Canis lupus familiaris: one gene and its partner. The protein of the gene in region 2 interacts with the protein of the main gene of each other region in a biochemical or structural test. Links are inferred from orthologs where the notes say so. Each region holds a gene or a part of one and is shown on either strand. Other genes may lie near its edges.

What was found.
Region 1: the proteins of STK26 (region 2) and CAB39 are reported together in a solved structure, tested with the Homo sapiens proteins (2 studies listed by IntAct, with this or other methods). The link is inferred for Canis lupus familiaris from reciprocal best matches to the Homo sapiens genes STK26 and CAB39.

The regions. Positions count from the first base shown.
Region 1 is NC_049246.1:42,900,640-42,905,231, forward strand, and holds the start of CAB39 (calcium-binding protein 39), read left to right. Parts: upstream 1-1,523; 5' UTR 1,524-1,652; intron 1,653-2,754; exon of another isoform or gene 2,755-2,984; intron 2,985-4,592. UniProt on the Homo sapiens protein: Component of a complex that binds and activates STK11/LKB1. In the complex, required to stabilize the interaction between CAB39/MO25 (CAB39/MO25alpha or CAB39L/MO25beta) and STK11/LKB1.
Region 2 is NC_049260.1:103,879,389-103,883,706, reverse strand, and holds the start of STK26 (serine/threonine-protein kinase 26), read right to left. Parts: upstream 3,033-4,318; 5' UTR 2,869-3,032; intron 2,767-2,868; 5' UTR 2,658-2,766; coding exon 2,616-2,657; exon of another isoform or gene 2,451-2,615; intron 1-2,450. UniProt on the Homo sapiens protein: Serine/threonine-protein kinase that acts as a mediator of cell growth. Modulates apoptosis. In association with STK24 negatively regulates Golgi reorientation in polarized cell migration upon RHO activation.

The DNA of each region.
Region 1 (4,592 bases), on a different chromosome or scaffold from region 2:
CAGATGCTCAACCACTGACCTACCCAGGTATCCTTCTTGACTGGACTATTTCAAAAGCCTTCTAAGGAGTCTCTTGGCTGAAACCATCAGGTCCTTCAGGCTGGGCATTACAGCCTTTGAAAGTTTAGCCCAAGCCCTTTCTCTGCTCAAAACCCTCCAAATAGCTTCCCATCTCATGCAGAGTGAGAAACAAAGTCCTCAGTTTGTTCCATTTGGCCTCTTTCTCCCCTCCCCTCCTTCCGTGCAAGTGCCTTGTTGGGCTCCCTGGTGTCCCATCTCAGTGCCTTCCTCCTTGCTGTTCCCTCTGCCTTTCCATACACAGAGCTCTTTCTTCTTGTAGCTGCTCCCTGCAGGAGCGCAGTAAGTAACAGTATCTTCCCTTCTCCCCCCTCCTTGGCCTGTGTTGTGTGTCTCCACAGCCCTGGAAACCATCCGATGCCACTTGCATACAGTGGTTTATTTGTTGATTGGTTTGTTGCAGGAGCAGGGCCTGTTTTGTTCACTTCCCCACCACCTAGGACACACGGGCTGGCACACAGTGGATGCTCAAAAACGATCCATTCAATCACAAGTTAAGAACAAAGCCACAAAATGAAACAAAAACCGTACATGCCTGGCATTTCTAAGTAGAAGACTCTGCTGTCAGAGCTTTGCAATGCATTAGCTCTTTCATTCTCATAAGCCTATGGTAGTGTGTGTGTGTGTGTGTGTGCGTGTGTGTGTGTGTGTGTGCGTGTGTGTGTGTGTGTGTGTGTAAAGGAACCCAGGCATTGGGACAGGAAATAATCCACAGAGTGGGGCTGGAGTTTAAATCCTATTCATCTGGATCATTCCATCACTTTCTGCGCGCGCTCTCAGAGGATGCTAAATGAATTGATCTGTCCCTCCCCAGCATGAAAGAATCCATCTACACAAAATCGGCCCTTGCTTTTTTAGGAAAAAAAAAAAAAAAAAGCTTTGCTAACAGCTGAGTAACAGCTGAGGAAGCGGCGGCAGAAGGCGGACCCCGGGTTCCTCCCGGAAGCGCGCGGAGCACCAGCACGTGAGCGGCAGGTGGTAGCACCGCGGGCCTCCCTCCGCCGCGGCTTTCCTGGCGCGGCCCCTCCGGCTCCGGCCGCGGGCGGGGACCCCGCTGTCCCGAGTCCGCCCGGCCGCTGGGGGGCGCCCGAGGCGGAAGGGGGCGTTGCGGCACCGCCCGACGTCGCGCCTCCGGCGGCTGCGCAGTGCGTACGTCAAAGCCGGGCTCGGGCCGGGAGCGCGGAGCGGGGAGCGGGGAGCGGGGAGCGGCGCGGCCTGGGAGCCACCGAGCCTGCGGGAGCCGGCGAAGGCGAAGGCGAAGGCGGCGCGGGGCCCCGCAGCAGCAGCCGCAGCCGCAGCCGCAGCCCGAGCGAGCGAGCGAGCGCAGCAGAGCGGCGGCCGCCGCGGGAGCCCCTGGGCCGCCGTCCGCCCGCGCAGCCGCCGCCGCCGCCGCCGCCGCCGCCGCCGCCGCCGCGGGAGCCCGTCGCCGGGAGCAGGAGCGGGCGGAAGACAACGGAGGGGCCGAGCGCCCGAGCCGCGCCGCGGGGACCGAGCGAGCAGCCCGAGGCGGCGGCGGCCGAGGACGGGGACGGCGACGACGCGGAGGCGGAGAGGGAGCCGCCCGGCCCAGCCCCGTGAGTGACCCCCCGGCCCGGCCCTGCCCTGCCCTGCCCGGCCCGGCCCGGCCCGGCCCGGCCCGGCCCTGCCCTGCCCGCGGCGCCGGCCCGTCACCGGGCCCGGGGCTGCCTCCATTTTCTCGGGCGGCGGCGGAGGCGGCGGCCCGCCCTCTCTCCCTCCCTCCCTCCTCGCTCGCCCTCGCCGGCGCGGCGCGCAGCGGCCTGCGGCCCGGGGCTCCCGGGCCTCCCCTCGGCGGGGGGCGGGCGGCGGCGGCGCAGGCGGGTGGGCGGGGAGGCGCGGGCCGGGCCAGCTGTCACTCCCGCTGCGGCCCCGGCCCAGTCCCCGGCCGCGGCCCCTCGCCCCTGAGCCCCGCTCCGCTTCCTGTGTGACACGGGGACGCGGGCAGCATCTTTTGTGATCCTCCTTTCGGGGCGGGGGCGGGGGCGGGGGCGCCTCCCTGACTTCTGGCTGGGAGTCGTGCGGCCGGAGCCTTCCCGGCTTCAGTTGAGCCAAAAGCCGAGCGCGGCGGGCGGGCGGGCGGGCGGGCGCCGCAGCAGGTCCGCGCCGGAGGGATTCAAAGGTAACCCCCCCCCCGCCCCCGCCCCGAGCAGCTTAGCCTCTGCCGTGGGGGAGATAAGCCCAGCACACAAATAACCTCGGTACCAGCGACGAGGCGATAAGTCCTGTGAAAGAGCTACAAAGTGCTAGAAAGGCACCCAGGGAATGACCGGACCGGACCCGATCGATCGATCACTTCCTTCCGCCTGGCAGAAATCTGGAAGGCTTCCTGGGCGAGGCGGTGCCAAGCCGGGCGTGGAAGGCCCCATGGGGTTTGGAAGAGGACGGGTGGGGACCCGGCGGTATGTGGAGGGGCAGCAAACCCAAAGATCACAAAAAAAAAAAAAAAAAAAAGGCATGGTCTAGAAATAGTGGGTAATTAGTTCAGTTGCCTGTGGCCAGTCGGGGAGCGAAGGGGTCGGGCTCCCGAGGTGCTGAGGGGCCAGACGCTCGGCTCCTGTGTAGGGGCTGTTGGAGCGGCTTTCTAAGGTGGACTGAGCGCTCATCGCCCAGTGACTCATGAGCCCCGGAAATGTAAGCTGGGAGATCTTAAAGGCGCTCTTGGGAAAGGGAGAGGAGGAGGGAGGCCCAGTAGAGAGTCGTCGTTCTGTGCCTTGAACATAATGCAGCTCGAGATCGATTTTGACAGCTACAGATAAATTCACGTCCAGGCCAAGCGAAGAACCTTTTGCAAAAAAGCTTCATTAGATACCGGGCTCTTAAGAGGTAAGGGAAAGATGCGCACGAAATAAGCTCCTCTGCACGGAAGGCGTTTCTGTTGGTGCGGTTCACTAAAAAAAAAAAAAAAAAAAAAAAAACGCATCAAAACTTCTTCCACTGTGTGTTAGGTGGCTACGCTTTGGAATTACTGAGCTAAGCGTGACTTCTTTGAAAGGGCATTTTGTAAGGGCAATCTAAATTGATGACTTTAAAAAAAAAAAAAATCAGGTTGTTATTAATATTCCGGGGCGGCAAGTTGGGACATAGAACCGTTTTTATGGAAAGGTAAACATTTCTTCATTAGTTTTTAGTTATGAAAGTGTAGGAGAGTGAGAAATGAAAATCTAGCTTGATTTTTGTACATTCCACCCCCCCCCCCCAAAAAAAAGATTACTAGCAGATAATTAGCTGTATTTAAAGTCTAGAATAGATGATTTGTGGAAGCAGCTTAGAACTCATGTTCGTTTCTTAAAACACTTGTTTGTTGTTTGTTTCTATGATCCGTGAATGTCAACTTTTTTCAGTCAAGAAAACCTTGTAAAATGCAAGAGGTCCTGGAAAACATTTTTTAAATGATCTTCTATAATCTTACCGCTTAGATTTGGTTGCTTTTAACATTTTTGCATACTTCCTTTTCAGTCTTTTTATGCTTATTTTTTTCTTGCATGATGAAATAAAAACTGCATGTATGTATAAATATTAACATTTTTGTTCATTGAATATCTTTATATAAAAACATTTTTACCCGAGTAAGGAAAGTCTTAAGCGTATTCTTTTTTTTTTTTTTTTTTTGGACAGGGTTGCATTTATTTATCTCAGATAAAATGCAGTAGTCACGCTTAATAACTGCAATGGTGGGCAGAACTTCTAAAGGTGTCTTGTTTGAAGTATATTTATTAACCTCTTTGTAGGATTTAGGTCTTATTACTTATTGAAGAAAGGTTTTATTTGGGGGGGGTGTCAGCATCAGATATGGAAGAGATTACACATTTCTGCTTATATGAGTGGATATACTTTTTAAAAAAAACATGTACTTTCTAAAAAGATTTTCTTAGCTGGTATAATATCTCCCATACAGAGTGATTTATCTCCCCATCTCCCCTAACCCTCCTCTTCTAAAAAATAGTCTTTATACTGAGGCTATCCGTATAGATTAACTACTTTTTGATCATGACGTTACAAAGATTCAATATGTAGTTTTTCTGTTGGCGTTTCTTTAGTAAAATATAAAATTTGGTGAAATAATTGCTGCTATAACAAAAGGAATTTTGTTTTGTTTCTCATTTCAAGACAGTTCACTTTAGTTCATTAGCATTTCAGACTACAGGTTCTTGTTTAAACCAGTTTTTTTTCCCTTTGCTTTACATTCTAAAATCTATTAGTGGGATCTCGGTTTCTGTTTCTAATCGCATATAAAGAGATGTTGAGTTAGATTGTATAAACTTTCATAAAGCTAATATAAAAGAATAGTTGGGATGCCTGTGTGGCTCAGCGGTTGAGCGCCTGCCTTTGGCCCAGGGCATGATCCTGGAGTCCTAGGATCAAGTCCCACATCCGGCTCCCTGCATGGAGCCTGCTTCTCCCTCTATGTCTCTGCTTCTCTCTCTGTGCGTCTCTCATGAATAAATAAATGAAATAAGTACATGAAATCTTTAAAAAAAAAAAAAAAGAATAGTTAA
Region 2 (4,318 bases):
GGTTTTCTTTCGTCACTCCAAGTTTCTTTTCTATTTTAAACTAGTGGCAACAGAAATTTCTTTGTTCGAAAGTCAGGAATGCTTGAAGTCTTAAGTGATAGAACAGGTAGCTCGACTTCTACTTCATGTCTCTCCTCAGGGGGAGAAAAACACTGTGGATAAAGTAATTTTGTTTTTATTTCTGGAAAAATCATTTTTTCCATCAATCTTCATAATTCTCTAAAATAAACTGTTAAAAAGTTATAGGCCAGTCAACCACTTCACCCTGATTTGTGGAAATACTATACATTAATTTCAAGAACACATGGCTAACTTGAGTTTTCTTACTACTCTCGGTTTAAAAGTTGCTCCTAACTCTTGAACAAAAGTTGAGAATTTTACAAGTGCATATATTTCTGCATCTCATTTGCAATATTTTTGAACAAAAGAATAGTAAAAGTAGTCTAGTCTCAAGAGTCACACTGCATGTATCAAATTTATTTTTAAGGTACTGTGCAATTTTTACTGTGGAAAGCTTTTGTGATGCATCAAATGCTTAAGAATCACACCTACAAATAAAATGGAAATAAACAGTTAAGAATTTATCATTTCATTAAGATGGAGAAAGTGACAAGTATCCCTCTCTTCTTTGCTAATATGGAGAGGACTGTCCTCCCCAAATTATGTGGGACTAAGTAACCACAATTTTGGGAAGGCATACAGTAAGAGGCAGAAGTTGTAAATTAAGATGTGATTCACATACTAAACCACCTTAATGAAGATTTTAAAATTCAAGAGATAGGGAACTCCAATAATTAAAGCAGGGAGCAATAAGAAACACTGAATGGCAAGGGGGTCCTAAACCCTATAAATCAAATAAAGACAAATGAAATAAAGACCAGAAACCATTTTCTTCCCAGCACACAGAGTTCCCCAGAGTCACAAACTTGATGAACAGGAGGCACGCTCTCTGCTGACGCAGGCGCACACAATGGAGACAGAAGCATGGAGACCCTCAGGGACAAACTTTCCATCTGTACCGTTCTACTCCCCGCAGAATGGAAAGAAGAGCACGGTGAGAAGTATTTCGCACTTCTTCCACATCAGACAGAGCAAAATCGGAGTTAGTACTGCAAACTACTAATCTCTTGCTACACAATCAAAGGCAGACTGAATGAATGGGTTGTGGGGCTGGGTGGATGGGGGAATGAGTGAGGGAGGGAAGGGGTTGGTCTGAGAAAAAAGTTTGAGGCATTTTGTAAAGGCTGAATGGATTAATCTTTTAAAAAGCCCGAATATTTCTCATTTCCCTTTTTCTTTCTTTCTCCTTTTTATTAAATACAAACCGACTTCCTGGGACTCAACACAGACTTGCCCTATATTCAGCTAAAAGGCCTGGTGCTTAGGCCTGGTGCTTAGTACACACAGGAGTCCTAGGATTGATATATGTCCCACACAAATGGTCCTTTTGTGGGAAAGTATTTTTAAAATTACTTTTTGTGACCATGCATAAAACATGACCAGTCGGTAAAAAAAAAAAAAAAAAGGATGAATTCCATGCATCAATTAGTATATTGAGGCCCCAATCCACAGCGTTTTACTAGAAACATAAGCTATTTACAACTCTAAACGTTTTTTTCTGAACTTGAAAAAAATCTGCTTTACATTTTTAGAAGCTAATGAGGGACTGAGTGAGTCTTTAGTGTTTCTAGTCTTTCATCTGCTCATAAATGGGTTGTTTAGGCTATCTAGGAAAGGAAAAAAGTGAACGCTTAAATGTTAGTAGACCTGGATAACATTTAGTAGATAGCTTGAAATGCACCACTTTAAATACGTAACCGCGTAAAAAGTGTAGGAACATCGCTTCTTTCTTCCTGAATAAAATGAAAATGTAATGGGGGGCGGGGGCTGGGTAAATCTCAAGATAGAAGATGGGTCTTAAGCAGTAGTCCCTTGTCCAGGACAAAAAGCTTCCTTTAACCACATGAACAGTTGTCTTATGGGAAAGGCAGGGGGAGGGGGCTGGGGAGTCATCACCTCAGCCATTCAGACGAAGGACGCAGCATTTCTCAAGCCACACTATGGGATGGGCCAGGTGGGGGAGCGAGATAGAACTTCGCCCTTAAGAAGCAACACCGAAGAGAAGCCACCTCGCTCTTCGCACTACGCACACAGGAAGAGCCCAATTCAACACCGCCGCCACCGACACCCCCTTGTCTTGCTCCACCCCAACTTGTGTGTGTGCGGGGGGTGGCGCACGACTTGCTTTTTACCCCACAAATTCGAGACACCTCCATCTCTCTCAAGTTAAGACCTTCCACCTCCAGTCCCCAGGCGGACCACGCTCCGCAGGCGCAGGTGTCTGGATCTGGCCTATTTTTATGCTCCCCCGCCGCCCGCGCCCCCCCCCCCCGCACCTCGGCGCGCGCCGGGTCCCTCCCCGCCCCTCCCCGCGCAATGCACCAGCTGGTCTAAACGCCGCCGGAAAACGCTTCGAGCCCGACTCCCGGGTCACCTGGCCCCAGCGCCCGGCCCTGCCTTCAAGGGAGCCCCGGGGCCGCCTCTGGTCACCGGGGACCGCGCACCGGGCTCTGGGGCAGTCACGTGGTCGGCGGAGGCGGCCTGGGCTTCCTCACCTGCATCCCGGGAACTTGGACAGCCACCGGTGAGTGGGCCATGAAGGCGAAGACTGCTCTGCACTGCTCCTGTGGCGGTGGCGCCTTGGGCTCGGACTGGCTCCTCCTCCGGGGGTAGCTCGGCGGCCCTCCCAGGCTTTTCGACCGGGGCCTGGAAGGACACACAGAAGTGGGGTGACTGAGCTGGTGGCGCGTCGCCCCGGGCTGGGGGTTCTGGGCGGTTGGCGGCGCAGCTGCCTGGGGCTCAGTCTACCTTTCTGGCGCCCGCCCGCCGCTGTTGCCGCCGCCTCCGCCGCCGCTCCTCCTCCCGAACGCTGGGCGCACCGTGTGGCGGTAGCCGGGACCTGGGCTCGAGTGATGCCGCTCCTCGGCGCCTCGCCGCTTTAGGAAGAGGAGGTGGAGGCGCCCCAGCAACCCGCCCGCCCGCTGGGCCCGGGAGGCGGTTGGGGGCGGTTCCGCCGTTGGCCCTGCCTCCGCCCTGCCGCCGGGCGGTGTCAGGAGCGCCGGAGCCCCTCGCGGCGCTGGGCTGCGTGCGGCTGGGTCGGCGAGGGGGCGGACTCCCTCCGCACGCGGAGAGGAGAAGCCGCGGGCTGGGGGGCCCGGCACTGGGCCCGGCCAGGGGAGGGAATGGAGGCGTCTCGGTGACCCTGGGGGTTAGAGTGCGTCCCCGACGCGGCCACGTCGCCGACAGGCGGACAGACGTTCGAAGCTGGGGCACACGCAGCTTCAGAGACCACTTGAGTTGAAACTTGGGGAGTGTTGGAAATCCCTATCGGCTCCGCGATCTAGTCAAGGGTGCGGCCACAGAGAGCCGCCGAGTTGGTGGACCCTCTATTCATTCCCGGGGTCTGGGTCTCCAGGCTGGGGCCGAGCCTCTGGGCAGACGCGTAGCCGCTCGCCTGCTTTCTGGATTCACCGTCCCCCAGACGTACTTCAGGTGACTTGAACCTGAGGCTACCCCTACCTCTTGGGTTGTCGGTTGGAGGGCTGCCAAACTGGGGCTTCTCGTCGCAAGTTTGCACGTGGAAGGGGGGGGGGAGAAATTGGAAAACAGATATTACATCAGCAGAAAAATTAATGAGGATGATAGAGGCATAAAAAATGAGACCAGATCTTTAGTAGTACGCCTTAATGAACTTGGTATACGGCATACGCAATAGTGGTTTTAGCAATTCCCTACCTTTGTTCCCTCTTAAGTTCTGCTCCAACAGGGAGGCAGTTCCTTTTGAGAATACCCTAAAGATAACAAGTCACAATGATAATAGTAACAATTACAGAAATCTCATCATGAAGGCACCTGGGGGGACCAACAGGGGTTAAGTACATTTAAAAATGTCATATCCAAGTACCAGTTTAAGATGAGGATGAAGTTCCTTACATTGCAAATTGTTATAGGTCTGGACCTAACACAAGGTTGGGACTCTAGTAGACACTCATTAAAGTTTCTTCTGTTTCTTTTGTTGCCTTTGAATCTTTCTCGAAAGACAGCATTTTAGTGTTATAAACATAATTATTCTTTTTTTAAAAATTTTATTTATTTATGATAGTCACAGAGAGAGAGAGAGAAAGAGGCAGAGACACAGACAGAGGGAAAAGCAGGCTCCATGCACCGGGAGCCCGATGTGGGATTCGATCCCGGGTCTCCAGGATCGCGCCCTGGGCCAAAGGCAGGCGCCAAACCGCTGCGCTACCCAGGGATCCCT